3 linked regions of the Anolis sagrei genome follow. Each later gene encodes a partner of the first gene's protein in a complex. Links are inferred from orthologs where the notes say so. Each region holds a gene or a part of one and is shown in the gene's direction. Other genes may lie near its edges.

What was found.
Region 2: CYFIP1 (region 1) and EIF4E share a complex: the UniProt entries of both Homo sapiens proteins name them as parts of the CYFIP1-EIF4E-FMR1 complex. The link is inferred for Anolis sagrei from reciprocal best matches to the Homo sapiens genes CYFIP1 and EIF4E.
Region 3: CYFIP1 (region 1) and ABI1 share a complex: the UniProt entries of both Homo sapiens proteins name them as parts of the WAVE2 complex. The link is inferred for Anolis sagrei from reciprocal best matches to the Homo sapiens genes CYFIP1 and ABI1.

What each region holds. Positions count from the first base shown.
Region 1 is NC_090023.1:99,880,820-99,888,664, forward strand, and holds the start of CYFIP1 (cytoplasmic FMR1-interacting protein 1), read left to right. Parts: upstream 1-4,670; 5' UTR 4,671-4,970; intron 4,971-7,845. UniProt on the Homo sapiens protein: Component of the CYFIP1-EIF4E-FMR1 complex which binds to the mRNA cap and mediates translational repression. In the CYFIP1-EIF4E-FMR1 complex this subunit is an adapter between EIF4E and FMR1.
Region 2 is NC_090025.1:26,053,155-26,061,631, reverse strand, and holds the start of EIF4E (eukaryotic translation initiation factor 4E), read left to right. Parts: upstream 1-5,075; 5' UTR 5,076-5,145; coding exon 5,146-5,163; intron 5,164-8,477. UniProt on the Homo sapiens protein: Acts in the cytoplasm to initiate and regulate protein synthesis and is required in the nucleus for export of a subset of mRNAs from the nucleus to the cytoplasm which promotes processes such as RNA capping, processing and splicing.
Region 3 is NC_090026.1:110,125,918-110,133,687, reverse strand, and holds the start of ABI1 (abl interactor 1), read left to right. Parts: upstream 1-4,722; 5' UTR 4,723-4,958; coding exon 4,959-5,075; intron 5,076-7,770. UniProt on the Homo sapiens protein: May act in negative regulation of cell growth and transformation by interacting with nonreceptor tyrosine kinases ABL1 and/or ABL2. May play a role in regulation of EGF-induced Erk pathway activation. Involved in cytoskeletal reorganization and EGFR signaling.

The sequences.
Region 1 (7,845 bases):
TTATTTGGAAAGAAAAAAAAGATGGAGAACCAGTGGGAAATTAAAAAAAAAATACAAATATGTCAGATGCTTAGAACATTATCCCATTCTGGCAGTGAATGAAACGGGAAGCTTCTATGATAATAAGCTCATCTGGGACCACCTTCTCAGATGTTCTTGATTACGATGGGGAATAAACTTAAATGTATTAGGTTTTGAAATATGTGACTGTTTTGGAATTATATATTGACGAGTATGGTGCTGTAAGTTGCCTTCTAATCATTACTGTAAAAGATGAGTTGTAAATAAATTACTTTTTTAAAAAGTATATTAGTTTAAAGTAGATTTTTTTAACAACATGCCTTATTTATCTTCATTGATCCCAGTCTATTATTTAGTATTTGGCTGAAAGTTTAGTAAATTTTACTGGTTTTTTCCAGAATCATTCTGAGATTTCTTGGGCCTTTAGACCAAGGATTTGGTAGGCATATGAAGGGTGTTCATTAAAGATTTCCCCTGACCTGCTTATATTTATCACAGGACTTTGAAACTGCACATGTATAATGATTTAAGTTTCTATAGGTTACGTGCCAATTTACAACGCAGAACTGATAACGGTCTTTTTTTTACAGGTGCTGAAGTGGTGTGATGTTTGATAATGGATCCAGTGGAATACAGAGCAGTCATCAAGTTCTTTTATTTGAAATGTCGCACACCAAAGGAGACATTCGATGAGATGAAAGAGGTTTATGGTGATGATTCCCCATCATATGATCTAGTAAAGAACTGCATTGTCAATTCCAGTGTGGTCAGACTTCGGTGCAAACAGCTCCAATTCCAGAGCAACCCCACTGTGCTATTGATGAACACACTATCCAGCAAGTTAAGGTCACCATTTTGGAAAATTGCCTCATAACCATTCTCCACCTAGCCCAAAATGTCAACATTAGTATGGGATCCATGGAAAAAATAATCCAAGACAATCTTCACATTTATAAGATATGTGCTTGCTGGGTTCCCCGGCTGCTCACACCTTTCCAGAAGCAGAAATGAGTCGAATGCTTTCAGGTTCTTTTGACAACGTGCCATGGAAACCAGGAGGACTTTTTAGCAGATTGATTACACAGGATGAAAGCTTGATCCATTACTATGATCCTGAGACTAAAGTCCAGTCAATGCAATGGAAGCATCATGACTCACCGCCTCCAAAGAAGGCATGTGCCCAACTTTCAGCAAGCAAGGTCATGCTCACAGTATTTTGGGACCAGCATGGAGTAGTACTGATGCATTTCGTAGCAAAGGGTACCATGATCACTGAGGCATACTATGCTTCATTGCTGCGGAAATTGCAGGAGGCCATCAAAACCAAGAGACTGCTACAGAAATTGCAGGAGGCCATCAAAACCAAGAGATGTGGCATGTCACCAAAGGCGTCCACTTTCTGCAAGACAATGCACTTATTATTTATTTATTTATTTCAGTTACTTCTACCCCGCCCTTCTCACCCCAAATGGAAGAAGCATGCTCCTGTGGCTTTGAAATTCTACCACATTCACTAGACCTCACACCATCGGATTTCCACCTCTTTCCAACAATGAATTTATTTTTGAAGGGCAAGCATTTTGCAGATGACGAGACTCTTATTTCCAAAGTCACAATGTGGCTTTTGGAGCAATCTGTCAACTTCTACAAGCGAGGTGTTTACAGTTGCTTAACAAGATGGGAGACACCTATGAGAAAAAACTAATAACTGTGCCAAGTTTTATTGCTCTCAGTCCACAGGAAGTGGCTCAGGGGAAATCTTTAATGAACGCCCCTCGTACAATAATATGCAAGTGCAAAAATGTACACTTTCAGTCGTTTGGAGAAAAATGATGAACATGTTCATAGGCTTAAAGAGCAATCTATTATACATTGGGTAGTCCCTCATGCCAACCGGTTCAAGGCATTTGCATCATAACAGGGCACTTCTTTCCTTTTGTTTGCAACAGAAAATAGATCTCAAGATTGTCTTCATATTAGCATACAATTAGCATTTTTTCCTGCAACATTCCTCCACTTTATAGTGGAACTTGGGTAGCCAGGTGAAATAAGGGACAGAGCTTGCTGTTATGTGCCTTCACATCATTTCTGACTGATGAAGACCCACAGGGTTTTCTGGATAAGTAGATTTTCATGGTTAAACTGGGATTCGAACCTTATTCTCCAGGGTTGTAATCCAACACTCAAACCACAATGACACACTGGCCCTTTAATGGTTATGTAAGACAATGCTACTCAAAGCAGTGTTGGGCTCTGACTCATTGGCTGCTGATCTCTGGACAGTTTCCAGGAAAGAAAAGCAGTTGTACCCAATAGACAAAAATGTAGTGCCAGTCCCTGGTATATTTGGGGAAATAATTGCCAGACTCTCTCCTAGCGGACAGCCTGAAAAGAGAGATGGACGCCTGATGTTGCTTGTCACCACGGCACCTTCTGCTGAAATTCTGTCCTGTACATCCATTGAAGGGAAGGGGCTGCTGTACGGATCAAAAGAGCCTTTGATCTATTTTGATTGCCTTTTAGATTTAGGTGTGAACTGTTTTGATATTGTAAGTAGTCTGATTTTATTTTAATGTTTCAACATGTTTTTAAATGTATTCTCTTAAATTCTGAGCTGCTTAGGGTCCCAATTTTGGAGACAAAGGGGGTGCTGATACTGATGTATTGGTTGGGACGGGATGCACGGGCTGCAAAATGGTGTGAACCTAGTAGAGAATGCCCTGGTTAAGAAGGAAAAGATGGGAATTCCTTGGCAGGCAAGTCAAATAGGCAGACCTCTTCCTTTCTTTTGACTCTTCTTTCTCTTCCCTACCCCCCCTCCCTCCTTTTCACTTTTTCTCTCTCCCTTTCATTTTCTTCCTTTCTCACCCTTCCATTTCTTTTCTCTTTCCCTCTCCCATCCTTCCTCTCTCCTGATCTTTTCCTTTCTTCCCTTCTTCCTCTTTGAGACCCCTTCTACACACATGATAAAATCCACAATGAACTGGAATATATGGCAATATGGACTCAGACAACCCAGTTCAAAGCAGATATTGTGGGTTATCTGCCTTGATATTCTGGGTTATATGGCTGTGTGGAAGGGCCTTCACTTCCCCCCTTTCGTTCTTTTCTCGCTTCCCTTCTTCCTTCCTCTCTCGCTTTCCTCCTTTCATTCTTTCTCTCTTCCCTTTTCCCCTTTCTTCTGTCCTTTCCCCCTTTGGTTTTTTTTTCCTCTTCACTTCTTCCTTTCTCTCCAGGCCCTTCCACACAGTCCTATAATTCAGAATATCAAGGCAGAAAATCCCACAATATCTACTTTGAACTGGGTTATCTGAGTCCACACTGCCATATATTCCAGTTCAAAGCAGATATTGTGGGATTTTCTGCCTTGATATTCTGGGATATAGGGCTGTGTGGAAGGACCCCCTCTCTCTTCCTTCCTTTAATCTCTCTTCTGTTCTTCTCAGTTCTTTCTTTCCTTTCTCTATTTCATCATTCTGTCCTTTCTCAATTTCTTCTGTCCATTCTTCCCCTTCCTTCCATTCATTCAATATTTCCCTTCCATTTCTTCTCTCCTTCTCCCTTCTGCTCTTTCAGTCTCTTCCCTTCTTTCCTCTCATTTCCTTTCATTCTTTTCCTTTCTTACCATCTTCCTTCCACTCTTGCTTTCCTTCAGTCTTTCTCTCTTCCCTTTTCCCTTCCTTATGTCCTTTCTCTCTCCCCCTTCTTTTTTCTCTTCACTTTTTTCCTTCCTTTCTCTCTTCCATCCTTGTACTGTCTCTCTAAATTCCTTCTGTCTATTCCTCCCCTTCCTTCCTTTATTTCTTCTCTCTTTCCTTAATCTCTCTTCCTTCTGTTCTTTTCCTCTCTTATGTCCCCCCCCCCTTCGTTATTTTTCTCTCTCTTTCCTCCCTTCTGTCCTTTCTATCTCCTTTCGGTTCTTTCTCTTCATTCTTTCCTTTTTCTCGCCCCTTCCTTCCTTCCATCTCCCCTTAAATTCTTTCTCCTTACTTCCTCTCCCCTCTCTACCTTTCTTCTTTCTCTCCCTCCTTTCCTTCTTTCAGTTCTTTCTCCTGATTTCTTTCCTCCCCCCTTTCTCCCTTCCTTCTCCCTCCCTCCCTTCAGTTCTTTCACCACCTTTCCTCCCTTGCTTCTTCTCCCCTTCCTCCCTTCTATCCTCCCTCCAGTTCTTTCTCCTTCATTCTTTCTTTCCTTCCTTCCTCTCCCCTTCCTCCTTTTCTTCTTTCTCTCACTCCCATCCTTCGGTTCTTTCTCTTCATTTCTTTCCTTCCTCTCCTCTTCTTCCCTTTCTTCTTCTCTTTTTTCCTCTCTCCCTTGAGTTCTTTTCTCCTCCCTTCTTTCCTTCTTCACTTTCTTCTTCTTTCTCTCCCTCCCTTCTTTCCTTCTTCACTTTCTTCTTCTTTCTCTCCCTCCCTTCGGTTCTTTCTCCTCACTTCTTTCCTTCGTCCCCGCCTTCTTTATCTCCCTCCCTTTCTTTGGTTCTTTCTCCTCACTTCTTTCCTTTCTTCCCCCCTCTCCCCTTCTTCCCTTTCTTTCTTTCTCTCTCTCCCTCTTCCGTTCTTCCTCCTCACTTCTTTCCTCCCTTTCCCTCTCTCACCCTTCTGCCCTTCCTCTCATTCACTTCCTTCCCTTCTCCCTCCCTCCCTCCTTCCTTCCTTGAGGAGGCTGGGCAGGAGTTTGGGACGGAGGAGGAGGAGCTGGAGTTGGGAAGGAGGAAGGGTGTTTCCTGGCGAGTCTGTTTGGAGTGACTCAGACAGGAAACTCCCAGCTTCGTGCGCGGCGGGCCTGCGAGGCAAGGGAAGTGGCCCGGGCCAAGGAGAGCAGACCCCCTCCGCTTCCTCCTCCTCCTCTTCTTCGGCCCGCGAAGGAGTGGAGCCTGGACCCGCGGAGAGAGAGAGGGAGAGGGAGAGGAAGGCGGGCGCCGGGCCTGGCGAGGAGGCGGCTGCTGGGTGAGAGGACCCTTCTTCTCCCGCTTGGCGCCCGCCTGCTGTTCCGGGCTGGGGCCTGTGAGGACGGGGTTGGGCGCCTGGCTGTGCAGGCGTGGGGTCGGGTCGGAGGCCGGGGAAAAGGGAAGGCTTGCCCAGCTGCGGCCTAAACGGAGGAGGGAGGCCGGGCGGGCGGGCCTTGAGACTCCAACTTCCCTCCAGCGGGCGCCTCAGAGAAAGGAAGGAAGGAGACCCGGGCGTGTCTGCCTGAGGCCACACGGTAGAATTAACGCGGTTTGATACCCCTTCAGCAGCCAGGGCTCAAAGCTAGAGGATTTTCACAAAATCTTTGACCTTCTCTGTCCCAAAGTGCAGGTGCCTCACTAAACTACAGCTCCCAGGACCCCATAGCCTCCAGGCCTGGCAGTTAAAGTGGTGTCAAACTGCATTGATTATAGAATATAGATGCAGCTCAAATCTGGGTGAACCTTAGATGAGTGTAGGACTGTATGTGCCTTGCAAGTAGCCTCTGGATCTGTGGATTTCATGGGGAAATCGAAGTTAGGATTGTTGTGAGTTTTCTGGCCTGTATGGCCATATATTCCAGAAGCACTCTCTCCTGACATTTTGCCCACATCCTCAGAGGTTGTGAAGTCTGTTGGAAACTAGGCAAGTGAAGTTTCTATATCTGTGGAATGTCCAGGGTGGGGGAAAGAACTCTTGTCTGCTTGAGGCAGGTGTGAATGTTGCAGTTGGCCAGTTAGCATTGAATAGCCTTGAGCTCCAAAGCCTGGCTGCTTCCTGCCTGGAGGAATAGCACCTCCCAACAAAGGATTCCCCCAGGCAGGAAGCAGCCAGGCTTTGGAGCTGCAAGGCCATGCAATGCCAGTTAGCATTGAATAGCCTTGAGCTTCAGAGCCTGGCTGCTTCCTGCGTGGGGAAATAACACCTCCCAACAAAGTATTCCCCCATGGAGGAAGCAGGCAGGCTTTGAAGCTGCAAGGCTATTCAATGCTAAGTGGCCAGTTGCAACATTCACACCTGCCTCAAACACAAGTTTTCTTTCTCCCACAGATATATACACCCCCCCCCCCCACTTGATCTGAAAAGATGGGTGACATTGATCTTTGGATAACATGACCTAATGCAGTAAAGGATTTGGGATATGTGCTAGTAACTTCGCAGTATGTTTCTTTTTAGCCACATATAATCGAAAAATTATTATTTAGAAGGAAGATCTAAGTGTACTCAGTAGAACTCATTTCCATAAATATGCATAGGATTGCGACTGAGCTAATTAAAAGGCAGCTAATCAGTTTTAAGCAGTTTGGTGTGGTATGCGGAAGGGAGCCTTTTAAAATTCATTTTCAAGAAATATGTCTATTTCTCATAGACATTTGAGCAGTAGGCATTTTTAAAAATACAGTTTGGTTAAGTGTTGCCATCTTAATACTAAGTAAAGGTAAAGGTTTCCCCTGACATTAAGTCTAGTTGTGTCAGACTCTGAGGGGTGGTGCTCATCTCCATTTCTAAGCCAAAGAGCCGGCGTTGTCCGTAGACACCTCCAAGGCCAGCATGACTGCATGGAGTGCCGTTACTTTCCTTCAGAAGCGATACCTAGTGACCTACTCACATTTGCATGTTTTCAAACTAATAGGTTGGCAGAAGCTGGGGCTAACAGCGGGAGCTCACCCCGCTCCCTGGATTTGAACTGCCAACCTGAAAGTCGGCAAGTTCAGCTGCTCAATGGTTTAACTCACTGCGCCATCAGGGAACACCATCTTAATACTAACACTGGCATAATATTATATTGAAATATTTGATCTGGGCACCATAAATCTCAGGTACACTAAGTATTAATTTAGGATAGAGAGAGCCACACGCTTTAGAAAGTGTGGAATATATACTGTCTCTTAGGACAAACTAATTTAGAACAGAAATAGTCCAGGGCCCAAATGCTTGAAGGATGCGCAGTTTACTGTTTCGACATTGTTTTGGTTTTAAAAGAGGTTTTTGGAGTTGAAAATAAATTGTAATATCTGCCTAAGAAATATAGAGTGGAATTAATTAAATTGTCATTAAACCCTTAAAATTTTTTTACTTATTAACAAATAGGCATTCATACTGGTACTTAAAATCTCTCCCAACCTCAAATCTAATTAAGTTCAATTGAATTAACAAGGCTATGAGAAATAAAAGGAATTGATTGGAACTGAATTTAACAATGTGCACCAAATTTTAGTAACAGACAACAATCATATTTTTTAAACAAATATTCTATGGAGAGCTGGGAAGTTTGGGAAAAGTTGTAGAATTGCAAGTAACCCATGGACCACTCTGCCTAGCTTTGGTATGAAGCAGGCCTGCATAACTTGTGGCCCTTCAGATGTTTGGACCTCAAACTCCCAGAAGCCCTAGCCAGCATGTCCAATGGTCAGGAATTATGGGATCCGAAGTCGAAAATATTTGGAGGGGTGCAGGCTGTGCAAGCCAGTCTAGAGTATTGCAGTTAAGTGATATTAGGATTGGTGTTGCTAAAGTGGAGAGATGTTTCTCTGTATGGCCATATGTTCCAGAATCATTCTCCTGACGTTTCGCCCACATCTGTGGCAGGCATCCTTAGAAGTTGAGAGGTCTGTTGGAAACTAGGCAAGTGAGGTGTATATATCTGTGGAATAATGTCCAGGGTGGGAGAACAACTCTTGTCTGCTTGAGGCAAGCATGAATGTTGCAATTGGCCACCTTGATTAGCATTTAATGGCCTTGTAGCTTCAAAGCCTGGCTGCTTCCTGCCTTTGGGGAATCCTTTTTTGGGAGGTGTTAGCTGGCTCTGATGATTTTTTTTTAGTGTTGCTCTTTATTTACTGTCCTGCTTTTAGAGTTTTTTAAAATAGCTAAA
Region 2 (8,477 bases), on another chromosome or scaffold:
ACTCCGTTAAGTAATTGGATTTATATAAATGTTGACATGTAATTTAGGGTCACCTTTATTGAGCCAATCCAAAAGCATAAAAATATTTGATGCAAGACAACAGGAAATGAGAGAAATCTACTTCTAGGAAGGGAAATTCACTCCTGAAAGAGTTATCATGGGGGAAAGGTGTCTCCACTGAAGCTTTATCACCACTCCTTGTTTCTACAACAAGCCAAATTTTTTAAAATACAATTATCACAGGGATGGAAAGTGAGGTGAAATCTGAACAGGAGCACAGACAGCAAAACAAATGCCACAGGATGTTAACCATTCCCTATGCTAGCCAAAGCTTTTAGATAGATAGATGATAGGTAGATATATCTATTGAGCCCCCTGTGGCACAGTGGGTTAAGCAGCTGAGTGCTGAACTTGCTAACCAAAAGGTTGGCAATTCGAATCTGGGTAGTGGGGTGAGTTCCCACTGTTAGCCCCAATTTCCACCATCCTAGCAGTTTGAAAATATGCAAATGTGAGTCTATCAATAGGTATCACTCCGGCGAGAAGGAAATGGCACTCCATGCACTCATGCTGGCCACATGACCTTGGAGACATCTATGGACAGCGCCGGCTCTTCAGCTTAGAAAAGGAGATGAGCACCACCACCATCCCGCTGCCAAGTCGGACATGATTAGACTTAATGTGAAGGGGAAGCCTTTACCTTTATACTCTCTCTCTCTCTCTCTCTCTCTATATATATATATATATGAGGCCACAGAGTGAAGAGGGGGCAGCCAGAAAAAGGGGGAAGCTCCACCATGTCTCGCCCACCACCAGTTGGGATTGAGCCCTGGAACTGAGGGAAAGACAAGTAGCTAGAGGGTCACAAGGGCTAGTAACCCAGATGATACTGCTGCAAAATTTAATTGCTAAATTACCGAAGTCAGAATATTATCCAAAGTTAAGCTATTCAGACAGAAATGCAAAAGAATAACACAGGATCATATATTTTGAGAAATGGTAGATTTGCATGAGGCTGAAAATAGTGGATCTACAACAAATCAGATAAAGGTAAAGACTTCCCCTTGACATTATGTCTAGTAATGTCCAACTCTGGGGTGTGACTGCTCAACTCAATTTTTGAGTCAAAGAGCCAGCGTTGTCCGTAGATGCCTCCAAGGTCATGTGGCCGGCATGCCTGTACGGAGTGCCGTTACCAAGCGCTGTTACCTTGCCGCTGGAGCAGTACCTATTGGTCTACTCACGTTTGCATGTTTTCGAACTACTAGGTTGGCAGAAGCTGGGACTAACAGCAGAATCTCACCCTGCCCCCTGGATTCAAACCGCTAAACTTTCGGTCAGCAAGTTCAACAGCTCAGCGATTTAACCTGCTGCGCCACCAAGTGCTCCAAAGGAATACAGGAAAGGAATATAAATATAATTGGAGTTATACTGAAAAATGAACCTGTTCCAACTTGCATACGAACTTAAGAACAAACCTACAGAACCTATCTTGTTTGTTGCCTGTACTTTTGGATTTTGCTGCATCCCTCACTATATAATTTTTCTTGTACCGTTCAGCTGTTGATTGAGTGGGTCTGATCTACTCTTCAGGGCATCTTAACCTTGTATATATAGGTAGAATCAAACACAATAAATCAGTATTTGCAAGCTTTGAGGAACAGGCTGGGTTTCCTTTTCGTGGACTGCATCTGAAGTATTTTCTGCAAAGGGTTGCTATGAGTTTTCCAGGCTGTATGGCCATGTTCCAGAAGCATTCTCTACTGATGTTTCAGCCACATCTATGGCAGGCATCCTCAGAGGTTTTGAGGCCTGTGGAAAACTAGGCAAGTGATGTTTACATATCTGTGGAAGGTCCAATTTGGGAGAAAGAACTCTTGTCTGTTTAAAGTGTTAATGTTGCAATTAATCTACTTGATTCGCATTTAAAAGCCTTGCATTTTCTGCAGAGTTAATGTCATGGATAAATAGGATATATGGTGTGAATGGAATTCATAGAATCATAGAATCGAGTTGGAAGAGACCTCAAGGGCCATCCAGTCCAACGCCATGCCAAGAAGTAGGAAAATCGCATTCAAAGCAGTCTCAGCAGATGGCCATCCAGCCTCAGCTTAAAAGCCTCCACCACACTCCAAGGTAGAGAGTTCCACTGCTGAACAGCTCTCACAGTCAGGAAGTTCTTCCTAATGTTCAGGTGGAATCTCCTTTCCTGTTTTGTTGTTTATTCATTCAGTCGCTTCCTACTCTTCCTGACCTTATGGACCAGCCCACGCCAGAGCTGCCTGTCGGCTGTCACCACCCCCAGCTCCTTCAAGGTCAGTCCAGTCACTTCAAGGATGCCATCCATCCATCTTGCCCTTGGTCGGCCCCTCTTCCTTTTGCCTTCCACTTTCCCCAGCATAATTGTCTTCTCTGGGCTTTGCTGTCTCCTCATGATGTGCCAAAGTACTTCAACTTTGTCTCTAGTATCCTTCCATCCAATAAGCAGTTGGGCTTTATTTCCTGGAGGATGGACTGGTTGGATCTTCTCGCAGTCCAAGGCACTCTCAGAACTTTCCTCCAACACCACAGTTCAAAAGCATCTATCTTCCTTCGCTCAGCCTTCCCTAAGGTCCAGCTCTCACATCTGTAGGTGACTACAGGGAATACCATGGCTTTGACTAGGGAGATATTTGTTGTCAGTGTGATGTCTCTACTCTTTACTATTTTATCGAGATTGGACATTGCTCTCCTCCCAAGAAGTAAGCGTCTTCTGATTTCCTGGCCATAGTCTGCATCTGCAGTAATCTTTGTGCCTAGAAATACAAAGTCTGTCACGGCCTCCACAATTTCTCCCTCTATTTTCCAGTTGTCAATCATTCTTGTTGCCATAATCTTGGGTTTTTTTTATGTTTAGCTGCAACCCAGCTTTTGCGCTTTCTTCTTTCACCTAGTGCTTTAAATCTGTTTAAATCTTATGTATCCCAATCTTGAACCAGTCTGTTCCTTTCCTGTAGTTTGTTTGAAAGGAGTATGAATGAGGCCTAACTGGGCTGAAGGCACTATTCTAAAATATTGCCTGGGCACACTTGGGCCCTCCCTCCAGGTGTTTTGGACTTCAACTCCCACAATTCCTAACAGCCTACCGGCTAGGTTCTTGTAGGTTTTTTCAGGCTATCGGGCCATGTTCTAGAGGCATTTCTCCTGACGTTTCGCCTGCATCTATGGCAAGCATCCTCAGAGGTAGTGAGGTCTGTTGGAATTAGGACAATGGGTTTATATATCTGTGGAATGGCTGGGGTGGGGCAAAGAGCTCTCTGTTGAAGCTAGGTGTGAATGTTTCAGCTGACCACCTTCATTAGCATTTGAAAGCCTGGCTGCGCCTGGGAAAATGTTCTGTTGAGAGGTGTTAAGATGTGCCTGGTTGTTTCCTCTCTGCTGTTTTGCTGTTGCAATTTTCAAGTTTTTTAATACTGGTCGCCAGATTTTGTTCATTTTCATGGTCTCCTCCTTTCTGTTGAAATTGTCCACATGCTTGTGGATTTCAATGGCTTCTCTGTGTAGTCTGACATGGTGGTTGTTGGAGTGGTCCAGCATTTCTGTGTTCTCAAATAATATGCTGTGTCCAGGCTGGTTCATCAGGTGCTCTGCTATGGCTGACTTCTCTGGTTGAAGTAGTCTGCAGTGCCTTTCATGTTCCTTGATGCGTGTCTGGGCGCTGCGTTTGGTGGTCCCTATGTAGACTTGTCCACAGCTGCATGGTATATGGTACACTCCTGCAGAGGTGAGAGGATCCCTCTTGTCCTTTGCTGAACATAGCATTTGTTGGATTTTCTTGGTGGGTTTGTAGATTGTTTGTATGTTGTGTTTCCTCATCAGCTTCCCTATGCGGTCAGTGGTTCCCTTGATGTATGGCAGGAACACTTTTCCTCTGGGTGGATCTTCATCTTGACTCTCATGGCTTGTTCTTGGTCTTGCAGCTCTTCTGATGTCTGAGGTGGAATATCCATTGGCCTGTAGAGCCCAGTTGAGGTGGTTCAGTTCATCTTGGAGGAGGTGGGGTTCGCAGATTCTTTTTGCACAGTCTGCCAAGGCTTTAATGGTGCTTCTTTTTTGACTTGGGTGATAGTTGGAGTTTTTATGTAGATATCTATCTGTGTGTGTGGGTTTTCTGTAAACGGTGTGACCCAATTGTTGATCTGGTTTACGGATGACTAGGACATCTAGAAAAGTCAGTCCTCCTTCCTTTTCTTTTTCCATAGTGAACTGGATGTTAGGGTGGATGCTGTTAAGATGTTCCAGGAACCTGTTGAGTTCTTCTTCTCCATGGCTCCAAATGGTGAAAGTGTCATCCACATATCTGAACCATATAGTGGGCTTTTTAGTTGCTGTTTCAAGAGCTTGTTTTTCAAAGCGTTCCATGTAGAAGTTAGCTATAACTGGGCTGAGAGGGCTCCCCATAGCTACTCCATCTTTCTGTTCGTAGAATTCATTGTCCCACTGAAAATATCTGGTGGTGAGGCAATGGTGAAACAGCGCCGTGATGTCTTCTGGGAACCTCTGGTTGATGAGTGCCATGGTGTCTGCAACTGGGACCATGGTAAATAGAGACACCACATCGAAGCTGATCAGTTTGTCATTTGTATTTAGCTTGAGATTGCTGATTTTTTCAATGAAGTGGGCCGAGTCCTTGATGTAGTGTGTTAGGCTGTTAGGAATTGTGGGAGTTGAAGTCCAAAACACCTGGAGGGAGGGCCCAAGTGTGCCCAGGCCTGGTGCAGTTGAGGCCTGTCTTTGGGGGCGAGGTGGTCTCTCGGGGGACGACGACGGTGAGGGGCAGGCCTTGCATCACACATGCTGACAGACACACCCCTGAGTGACGAAAGCCCGGCCTCCTCCTTTCCTTTCCTTCCTCGCCGCCTCAGCGTGACAGGCCCACGCCTGCCTCTCCCACGTGACCTGAAGAGGCTGGGAAGGCGAGGAGAGAAAAAAAATACACCGGGGACTACACTTCCCAGAAGGCGCCGCTCTCCCCCCTCCCCCCGCGCACGCGCCGAGCCGCCCAAACCGCCGCCGCCTCCACGTGACCCGCGGGCAGCCAATCAGCTTCGAACCTGGCTCGTTTCCCCCCTCCCCTCCGCGCTTGGGCGAGCAGAGCGATCTAAGATGGCGACGGTGGAACCGGTGAGTGTCCTCCTCGCCTCGCGTTGTGCGGCTTCCCTTCCCCCTTTCCCCCTCTTTTGAGTCCTTTAAAAGAAATCTTTAAATGTCTCGTCATGATTAAAAGGCGGTGGAAGGAGGGAGAGGAGGGGAATTAGTCAAGGGAGGGAAAAAGAGAGTGAGTGTATGACTGTGAGTGAGTGTGTGGCGCGCGCATGTACGGCAAGCGAAAGGGGCCGGCGTGCGCGAGGGCGAGACGCTTCGCGGGAAGGAAGGGAGGGAGGGAGGGAGGGGGTGAAGGAGGAGGAGGAGGCCGGGTGGGTTTTGATCGGAGCGCGCGAGGGATTGTGGCGTCACAACTTGGGCGGGGGCAGCGAGGGGAGGGGTCGCGTGGCGAGAAAGAGAGGAGAAGGAAGGCCACATAGGCCTGCTCGTTTGAGAGACCACTCGCTATGGCCTTTTCTCTAGATTGGCCCATCTCTTCTCGCCTACTTTGAGAGCCCACCCCTTCCCATGCTTATAGTATAGCACTAGATATAAATTATAACATTGGGGGAGAGCTGGGCGGCCTTTGCCTTTTCTCTGCCCCTCCCAGTCCCCCTTTTCCTTCTGCTTTTGAGGTCCAGACCACTCTCCTTTGAAGCCTCTCTTTTTCTCCCCACTTTTGAGGAAAATTCATATTACAAATATTAAACATTGCTGTAGTCTCCTTTACTTCCTGTATTTCCCCACCTCCCATCTCTTTTTCTTCTATTTAAGAGACCCACTGGTTTGAGGAGCCAGCACTCATCAGTATAAAGACAGAAGAATTAGACCCAACCACTCACCATAACTTTAGGATAAAGATATAGATATTAGCCCCACATCCTTATAGGCCAAGAAGAGCCTGCTCTGGGGCTTCTCTGGCTTTTGCTCATTTCTACTTAAAAGATTCAGTAGTTTAAGAGGGAACTACTCACCATTACTTCATTATAAAGATATAGATATTAGCCCTACGTCCTTATAGGTTGAGAAGAGCCTGCTCCGGGGCTTTTCTGGCTTTTGATCATTTCTTCTACTTAAAAGATTCAGTTGTTTGAGGGGTGACTACTCACCATTACTCCAGGATAAAGATATAGATATTAGCCCCACGTCTATATAGGCTGAGAAGAGCGTGCTCTAGGACTTTTCTGGCTTTTGCTCATTTCTACTTAAAAGATTCAGTAGTTTGAAGGGTGACTACTCACCATTACTTTAGTATAAAGATATAGATATTAGCCCCACGTCCTTATAGGCTGAGGGGAGCCTGCTCTGGGACTTTTCTGGCTTATGCCAGACTGCTCACCATTACTTCAGTATTTAAATATTAGCCCCACGTCTATATAGGCTTAGGGGAGCCTGCTCTGGGCTTTTCTGGCTTTTACTCATTTCTTCTACTTAAAAGATTTAGTAATTTGAAGGGTGACTACTCACCATTACTTTAGTATAAAGATATAGATATTAGCCCCACGTCCTTATAGGCTGAGAAGAGCCTGCTCTGGGGCTTTTCTGGCTTTTGCTCATTTCTACTTAAAAGATTCAGTAGTTTGAAGGGTGACTACTCACCATTATTTCAGTATAGAGATATAGATATTAGCCCCTCATCCATATAGGCTGAGGGGAGCCTGCTCTGGGACTTTTCTGGTTTTGCTCATTTCTTCTACTTAAAAGATTCAATAGTTTGAGGGGCGACTACTCGCCATTACTCCAGGATAAAGGTATAGATATTAGCCCCACATCCATATAGGCTGAGGGGAGACTGCTCTGGGACTTTTCTGGCATATGCCAGACTACTCACCATTACTTCAGTATAAAGATAAAGATATTCGCCTCATGTCTATATAGGCTGAGAAAAGCCTGCTTTGGGATTTTTCTGGCTTATGCTAGACTACTCACCATTACTTCAGTATAAAGATATAGATATTAGCCCCATGTCCATATAGGCAGAGGGGAGCCTGCTCTGGGCTTTTCTGGCTTTTGCTCATTTCTTCTACTTAAAAGATTCAGTGTTTTGAAGGGAGGCTACTCACCATTACTTCAGTATAAAGATATAGATATTGGCCCCACATCCATATAGGCTGAGAAGAGCCTGCTCTGGGACTTTTCTGGCTTATGCTCATTTCTTCTACTTACAAGAATCAGTAATTTGAAGGGTGATTACTCAGTATTACTCCAGGATATAGATATTAGCCCCACATCCATACAGGCTGAGAGGAGCCTGCTCTAGGGCTTGTCTGGTTTTTCCTCATTTCTTCTACTTGAAATACCCATTAATTTGAGGGCCAACAACTCACAATTCTTTCACACACACAAATATTTGAGTCTTTTGTGTATCTGTATATAACAGTGGTCCACATTATTATAGGCAAAAGAGGAACCATCCATCTCTTCCCCTTATGACACCCAGTTGTTTGAGGAGCAACCATTCACCATCCTATATATATGTTAGGTCCACATCCTTATAAGCAAAGGGAACCTCCTCTAGGGCTTGTCTGGCCTTTTTTCGTCTGTTTTCTTCTACTTTAAGAGACTCAGCAGTTTGAAGGTTTGGCAGTTCAGTCACTATTACTTCAATATACTGGTGATAAAAAAATAACATTGGTCCACATCATAACAGGCCAAGGAGTTTGGGTGTCCTTTCCTTTTGTCTCTTCTCTCCCTCACCCCAACATCCTTTTTCTTCTGCTTACCAGGTACAAGATTATCTAGAGACATTATCTTCCTTTTCTTATTTTTCCTTTCTTCTCCCCAACTTTTCAGTCTGGCCTAAGGAAACCTAATCATCACCTGGTCTGTAGATTGCGATCATTTTTTCCTTATCTTAAAAATCAACTTGTTCTCCCCCCCCCCCCCCCACACACCTTTTTCACATCCTCAGCTATTTTTGGTCTCTTCTGGTTTTTCCTTCAGTCTCTAGTAAAAGACGTGCGACAATGGGGCACTCTTTGGGATCAGAGGTGAAAAACGACCATTCAGATTTTTGTGATCTAATCTGAGTTCTGTTTTTTGAATAGTATCTTGCATCTGCCCAGTTTCCACAGTTAACAAAAAGATTGGCCTTCACCAAAGCTGCCTGCATGCTGTCATTTTAGACTTAGCAGATATGTTGTTCCCTTCAGCTGTGACCCATTATTGTGAACCAAGGGTCATTTGAATTATTAATTGTAAAACATTTTTTTTCTTTTTTCCTGTGAAGTGTCCTAATGTAAAGCCAGAGGCTGGGGCTCTGAGAATTTTCAGATATTCTAGGATTTGTAGGTAAAATCTTTGATCATAGTAAAGCTTGACCTGTAACATTGATTTCATCACTGCGTAGAGCT
Region 3 (7,770 bases), on another chromosome or scaffold:
ACAAAAATCTGGTCTGTGAGCCTCCTTTCTCTTTATTTTATTTTATTTTATTTTATTTTATTTTATTTTATTTCTACTCCTTTTGCATTGGCTGCCACTCCTTCCCTTTTACTGACCACTGCATATGTTCTGTATCAGAAACTAGAACTGATGTGGTCTATCCAATGCCATTTTCCAAATCAGCACCCAAAACTGAATCTAAAGTTGATCAAAAACTGATTCATAACCCTTTTGGTATTGATGTTGAAGAGTGGTCCCTAGTCAAAGTAGTCCCTGGTTTAAAAAAAAGGTTTGGGAACCACTGATCTAAGGCCAGAAATTAGACAAGTTATACCTGGGAAGTGTAGTTCACAGATTTTTTCCAAGGTCTGCTCTCATCCCTAGCAATAAAAATAGAAAAAGTAAACAATCTGCTTCTTTTTCATGAAAGTGATACACAAAATCGGCTATGGAAAGCAGATTGTCCATTCTGGATGTGTCTGGATTGTAGAATGAATACAGGTTGACATCACTTTAACTGCCGTGGCTCAATCATGGGAATTTGGCAGAGAAAACAAGAGACATTGTAAAACTACATTTCCCATGATTCAATTGAATTAAACTATGGCTGTTAAAGTAGAGTTGAACCGCATTAATTCTATAGTGTATATACTATAATGTTGAATAAAAGGGTCAGGCCTGCTAGAATTAGCACTTTTTGCTGGCTTTTCAGTTGACCTTTAAGAGCAGTTCTTTCAACAGTGATGTGATTTGGAAGAATTGGCAAATAAGCTTCTCATTATGCAGAGATAAACGTTATAACTCACCATCTACTCACTAGAACCCGAAATTCAGCAATTTAATCCATAGATCTTCCACTAGTTCAATAAAGTGGATGAATGTTTCTCCACCAACACAATGAAATTCGAAATTCAGTTTTGTTTCAGATCTGTAACCTCCAGGAGAGTACATTGTGATCTTTTGCACATGTTATAACCATCTTTGCCATTGGCCCTAATTGGCATTCTCGCTGGAGTCTTCTGCAGGAAAGAAAAAAAAGCTGAGGATTCTGGGAATGCCTTGAAAGGGAATGTCCCGTCATGATCCCTTTGATGTTCTTTCCATATGAAAATCAATCAGCATGAAGCCATAAGCAAAGCAGATGGCAAGGCTTCAGAATCAAGGCTTCCATCCTAAAATGCATTTGTGCCAGTCATGGGGTTACAGCCCCGGTAACATGATAAATAAGTGTTTGGAGGAGGAAAGAGATGCTTTACTGCAAACTCTATGAACAAAATTATGAATGTTGGCATCCGGTGTGGGTATTCTAACCTTAAACATTATAGCATTGATTCTGCCCTTTACATTTCTGGGGGAGAAAGGACTAAAAATGCGGCTTCAGTATCTGCACTATTTTTGTCATCTAATTACTGCATTTTATTTAAGATTAATGCGATACATATTTCATTTTTAGGTGTACTAGCAGATCATGTTCCCGAAGAAACATATATGGGCTAAAAGTATTTGCCTGCATTACATATACCATGGAAATGAGTAAGATTGCATAAAAACTGTATCAAAATCAAAGGAATATTTAATAATAATAAAACTTTATTTATATACCACTCTATCTCCCCTGGGGGACTTAGGGCAGTTTCCAAATTGTAAAAACACAAATCCATACAGAGTAAGCAAAAAACAAACAAACAAAAACAGACCAACACATACGCATAAAACAGTCAAACAACACATGTACAATAAAACCAATCAACCTTATTCTTCATACTAGGATTAACTATTAGGGCCAAGCAATCTTTTTGTGGACTGAAACCAAACTAGAAATGGATGTATCTGGAATTTTTCCACTCAGTCCTCAAGAGAGTGATCTCTGGAACAAGTCCAATTTGGGATAGTTTGATATTCTTATTTGGCATGTAGAATAATAGAATTATAGAATCATAGAGTTGGAAGAGACCTTGTGTGCCATCTAGTCCAACCCCCTGCCAAGGAGCAGGAAAATTGCATTCAAAGCACCCCGACAGATGGCCATCCAACCTCTCAGCTCAGGTCCTCCCTCTTTAAAGATTTCAGAAGGGATCCCATCAGGTCTGCTGGCTTTGTTATTTTTTGTTGGTTGATGACATTGCTGACTTCTTCCAAACTAGGCAGTGCTGCAAACTCATCCCTGATTTGTGGGAGAACCTCTTTGGCCACATTCGAGCTGCGGTTCTGGAGGCTTTGGTAGTGTTCTTTCCAACGTAGTGCAATTGATTTTTGGTCCTTCAGGAGTTTGGTTCCATCTGATGAGCGTAGAGGCTGTATGCCATGGTTTCTTGGTCCATAGATGACCTTTGTGGCTGTGAAAAATCCCTGAGCATCACGGGTATCTGCCAGGTGTTGGATTTCTTCAGCCTTCTTTGTCCATGAGATGTTCTTAAGTTCTCTTGTCCTTCTTTGGATCTTAGTTTTTGCACTGGTGTAGATCTTTTTCTTATGGGTCTCCATGGCTTTGACTAGGCGGATCTTTGTTGCCAGTGTGATGTCTCTACTCTTTACTATTTTATTGAGGTTGGACCTTGCTCTCCTCCCAAGAAGTAAGGGTCTTCTGATTTCCTGGCCACAGTAATCTTTGCACCTAGAAATACAAAGTCTGTCACAGCCTCCACATTTTCTCCCTCTATTTTCCAGTTGTCAATCATTCTTGTTGCCATAATCTTGTTTTTTTTTTTTTAATGTTTAGCTGCAACCCAGCTTTTGTGCTGGGCTACACTGACCATGCAGACTGTGGCCAGGAAATCAGAAGACGCTTACTTCTTGGGAGGAGAGCAATGTCCAGTCTCGATAAAATAGTAAAGAGTAGAGACATCAGACTGGCAACAAAGATCCGCCTAGTCAAAGCCATGGTATTCCCTGTAGTCACCTACGGATGTGAGAGCTGGACCTTAGGGAAGGCTGAGCGAAGGAAGATAGGATGCTTTTGAACTGTGGTGCTGAAGGAAAGTTCTGAGAGTGCCTTGGACTGCGAGAAGATCCAACCAGTCCATCCTCCAGGAAATAAAGCCCGACTGCTCATTGGAGGGAAGGATACTAGGGACAAAGTTGAAGTACTTTGGCCACATCATGAGTGTCATGCGTTAGCATGAGTAGCATGCAGATTGACTCTAGCCCAGTTAACTGTGTGTGTGATGAATTGGCTCTTAAAAGAAAAACACATGAGTAGAAAAGAAAAATATTGTAGTATTGGCAGCATACAAAACAAAATAGCAGGATTGCTGTTTCCACAAAAGTAACATGAAACAATATCTTCTGAGAGATATCATTACTCAGCTGTGATAAGCAGGAATCCTTGTCCTCTTCCCATGGCTGTGTCTTCGCAGGACATCTGCAGCATAGTCCCTGGCTTACACAAGGCAGAATGGCACAGAGGCATAGATGCACAATGGCAAAGAAGCTAAACACACAGTAGCTATCTTTATACACATGAAAATAATACTCTCAATTAACTCTTCAATTAACTCAAACAGCTGTAGCACAAACAGCCTTGAACTTTACAGCAACTTAAAGTTATAGCACAAACAACATTGATCCTTACAACAACTTAGATAAAGTACGTTACAACCTCTTAGTAGCAACAATGAGGAGACAGCAAAGCCTAGAGAAGACAATTATGCTGGGGAAAGTGGAAGGCAAAAGGAAGAGGGGCCGACCAAGGGCAAGATGGATGGATGGCATCCTTGAAGTGACTGGACTGACCTTGAAGGAGCTGGGGGTGGTGACGGCCGACAGGGAGCTCTGGCGTGGACTGGTCCGTGAGGTCACGAAGAGTCGGAGATGACTGAACGAATGAACAACAACAAGTGAGACTCTACTGTATCATCTGCATATCTAAGGTTGCTAATGTTTCGTCCAGCAATGTTAACTCCAGCCTTGGATTCATCAAGTCCCGCACGTCGCATGATGTCTTCTGCATACAAGCAGAATAGGTTGGGTGAGGGCAGGGCCGTAGCCAGAAAAAAATTTCGGGGAGGGTTGACAATTTCGGGGGAGGGGGGGTTGAAAATTTCGGGGAGGGTTGAAAATTTTGGCAGGGGGGAGGGGTGAAACCTGCCTCCTAGCTCACGCTGAAGCAAAGAGTACAGCAGGGGGCAGAGCAACCTTCAATAGCCTGCAGCTCCACCCCTGTCAACCAACTCCACCAAATCTGGCCTTCTTAATGAGAGCATTCAACACATAAACCCCCAACTTGGTTGCTTCACTACATCAGGTATTGCTGCAAGTAATGACAGTGTGAGTAAATTGTCAATATTTGCTTGAGATAGTGCTTACAATTCTGGAGGGACTCTTAATTTTTTGCATCTCATAGACTTAGCATGGGGATTTGGTTAACCAATTAAAATTCATGAGTAAATCAGGTTTTTTAAAAAAATCTGAAACATTTCGGGGGGGGATTGAACCCCTAAAACCACCCCCTCGCTACAGGCCTGGGTGAGGGTACCCTGCCTTGCTGTACTGGGCTACACTGACCATATAGTCCACTTTCAAATTGCATGATATGCCAGTGTTGATACTCCCAGGTTCCTATTGACAGGACAACTTTTCCCCTCCTAGAACCAGTGCAGCTGAACCCAAGGGATGGACAGCAACAGAGAAGCACTTTCTGGCCAGGAAGGAAGCCTTGTGAACTACACCTCCCAGCGTGCCTTGCGAGCGCCTTTTCCTGTGAAGGAGGAGGGGGAGGAAGAGAAGGAGGAGGAAAGGAAGGAAAAAAAAAAGCCCAAGGCGAGGAGGGAGTGTGGGTGGGGAAAGCGACGCCTCTGTTCTCCTTCCTTCCTTCCTTCTTCCTCTCTCTCTCTCCTTCTCTTGAGGCTCAGGCGGCATCTCCCCCCTCGCCATAACCGAGAAGGCAGCGAGAGAGCGGGGTCTGGGGTCTGGGCGCCTGTCTCTGGAAGGGAGAAGGGAGCGATGCGGAGGGGAGGAAAATGGCAGAGCTGCAGATGTTACTAGAGGAGGAAATCCCTTCTGGGAAGCGGGCTTTGCTCGAGAGCTACCAGAACCTCACCAGGGTCGCCGACTACTGCGAAAACAACTACATCCAGGTAAGAAGGGAGAGCCAAGGAGGGAGGGAGGGAGGCAGGCTCGCCTTGGAAGGGGCCAAGACCCACGCCTGCCTTCATTTCCTTCCTTCCTTCTTGCTCGCCTCCATGGCAGGAGGAGGAAGAAGGGGGGAAGGAGCCACTCGCCTTACAGGAAGTGGGCAAGGGCTCTTGCAAAGGGAGGAAGGCCAGCCAGGCCTTCCTCCCTTTGCAAGAGCCCTTGCCCACTTCCAATGGGTGCATTGTGACCCCACTTTGAGTTGTCAGGATTCAATGCTAGGAGTTGTAGTGGACAGACTTTTATGGAACTACCACTCTCAGGTTTCCATAGCCTTGAGCCTCAACAACCACAGTGGTGTCAAACTGTGTTTGCTGGACAGTGTTTTTGTTTGTTTGGTTGCATGAGGAAGAATTTGCAGACTGTGAGATCCGTTCAGCAGTGGAACTCTCTGCCCCGGAGTGTGGTGGAGGCTCCTTCTTTGGAAGCTTTTAAGCAGAGGCTGGATGGCCATCTGTCAGAGGTGATTTGAATGCAATATTCCTGCTTCTTGGCAGAATGGAGTTGGACTGGATGGCCCATGAGGTCTCTTCCAACTCTTTGATTCTATGATTCTATGCTGCAAGTCGCTTCTGGTGTTAGACAATCAGCCGTCTACAAAGACGTCACCCAAGGGATGCGTTTTTTAAATACATTACAGTTGTATCCTCAGTTTGCTTCTGATACGATAAATAAATGGACAGTGTAAATCAGGCATGGGCACACTTCAGCCCTCCAGGTGTCTTGGACTTCAGTTCCCAGGAATCCTAGTGTTGGACTGCAATGCCCACCGGCTGTTAGGAATTGTGGGAGTTGAAGTTCAAAACACCTGGAGGGCCAAAGTTTGCCCATAGAATCATAGAATCAAAGAGTTGGAAGAGACCTCATGGGCCATCCAGTCCAACCCCATTCTGCCAAGAAGCAGGAATATTGCGTTCAAATCACCCCTGACAGATGGCCCTCCAGCCTCTGTTTAAAAGCTTCCAAAGAAGGAGCCTCCACCACACTCCGGGGCAGAGAGTTCCACTGCTGAATGGCTCTCACAGTCAGAAAGTTCTTCCTCGTGTTCAGATGGAATCTCCTCTCTTGTAATTTGAAGCCATTGTTCCGTGTCCTAGTCTCCAAGGAAGCAGAAAACAAGCTTGCTCCGTCCTCCCTGTGGCTTCCTCTCACATATTTATACATGTCTATCATATCTCCTCTCAGCCTTCTCTTCTTCAGGTTAAACATGCTTGTTCTCCAGACTCTTGATCATTTTAGTCGCTCTCCTCTGGACACATTCCAGCTTGTCAATATCTCTCTTGAATTGTCGTGCCCAGAATTGGACACAATATTCCATGCCTGGTATAGATGCACCCTAAGGTGGACCAGACCAGGGGTGCAGCCTACATGGTAGAAGTACTGGGGTTCCACACCACTTGAACTGCTATGGCTCAACGCTATGGAATTGTGTGTGTTGTCATCTGGTGAGGCTATAGAATTCTTTGGCAGGGAAGACTAAGGACCTTGTAAATCTACAATTCATAGAATTCAATAGCACTGAGCCATGGCAGTTTTATTATGCTTTTAAAGTAATTACGTTGTTTTAATTTACTTACTTTTGGTTAGTAATAATAATGATAATGATAATCTTTATTTATCCCAACACCATCTCCCAAAACGGAACGAGGGCAGTTTACAAGGCACTTTTTTTTGTCGTGTCAGGAGTGACTTGAGAAACAAGGCACTACAAATGTAGTATATTATATAAAAGGTACATGGGTATAAAAACAATATAGCACAACAATTATAATAACAACCACTATTAACACATAAAATAAAATATAACACAGTTTAAAATGCAGAACATTTGTAGTTAAAACTAGCAGCCTTCAAATCACAATTACAGTGCCAAAGTGTCAACCTCATATGGGCCCATTTCAGCCTACTCAAGGCCAAAAGCCTGCTTAAAAATCAATGTTTTTAGGCTGGATCGGAAAGAGTCAAGGGTGGGGGCTAACCTAATATCTTTTGAGAGGGTATTCCAGAGCCAGGGAGCCACTACTGAGAAGGTCCTCTCTCTCATCCCCACCAACCATGCTTGAGACGGAGTCCCCGGTGGCGCAGTGGGTTAAACCCCTGTGCCGGAAGGACTGAAGACCTGCAGGTCACAGGTTCGAATCTGGAGAGAGGCGGATGAGCTCCCTCTATCAGCTCCAGCTCCTCATGCGGGGACATGAGAGAAGCCTCCCACAAGGATGACAAAAACATCAAATCATCCAGGCATCCCCTGGGCAACGTCCTTGCAGACGGCCAATTCTCTCACACCAGAAGCAACTTGCAGTTTCTCAAGTCGCTCCTGACATGACAAAGAAAATGCTTGAGACAGTAGTGGAACCGAGAAAAGGGCCTCCCTTGCTGATCTCAAAGCCCACGCTGGTTCACAGAAAGAGATGAAGGACCCAAAGCATATGTGGCTTTGTAGGTAATAACTTGCATCTTGAAATGAGCCCAGAAAATTGTCGGAATCCAGAGGAGCTGCTTGGGTATGTTCCCTATAGCTAGCTCCAATTAGTAAGCTTATAAGTTTATATTGATGTTGTTTCATTCATTGGTTCAATTTGGTTTTGTTTTCATTATGGCATTGAATGCTTGCCATTTTTTTGTTTGGAAACCGCCCTG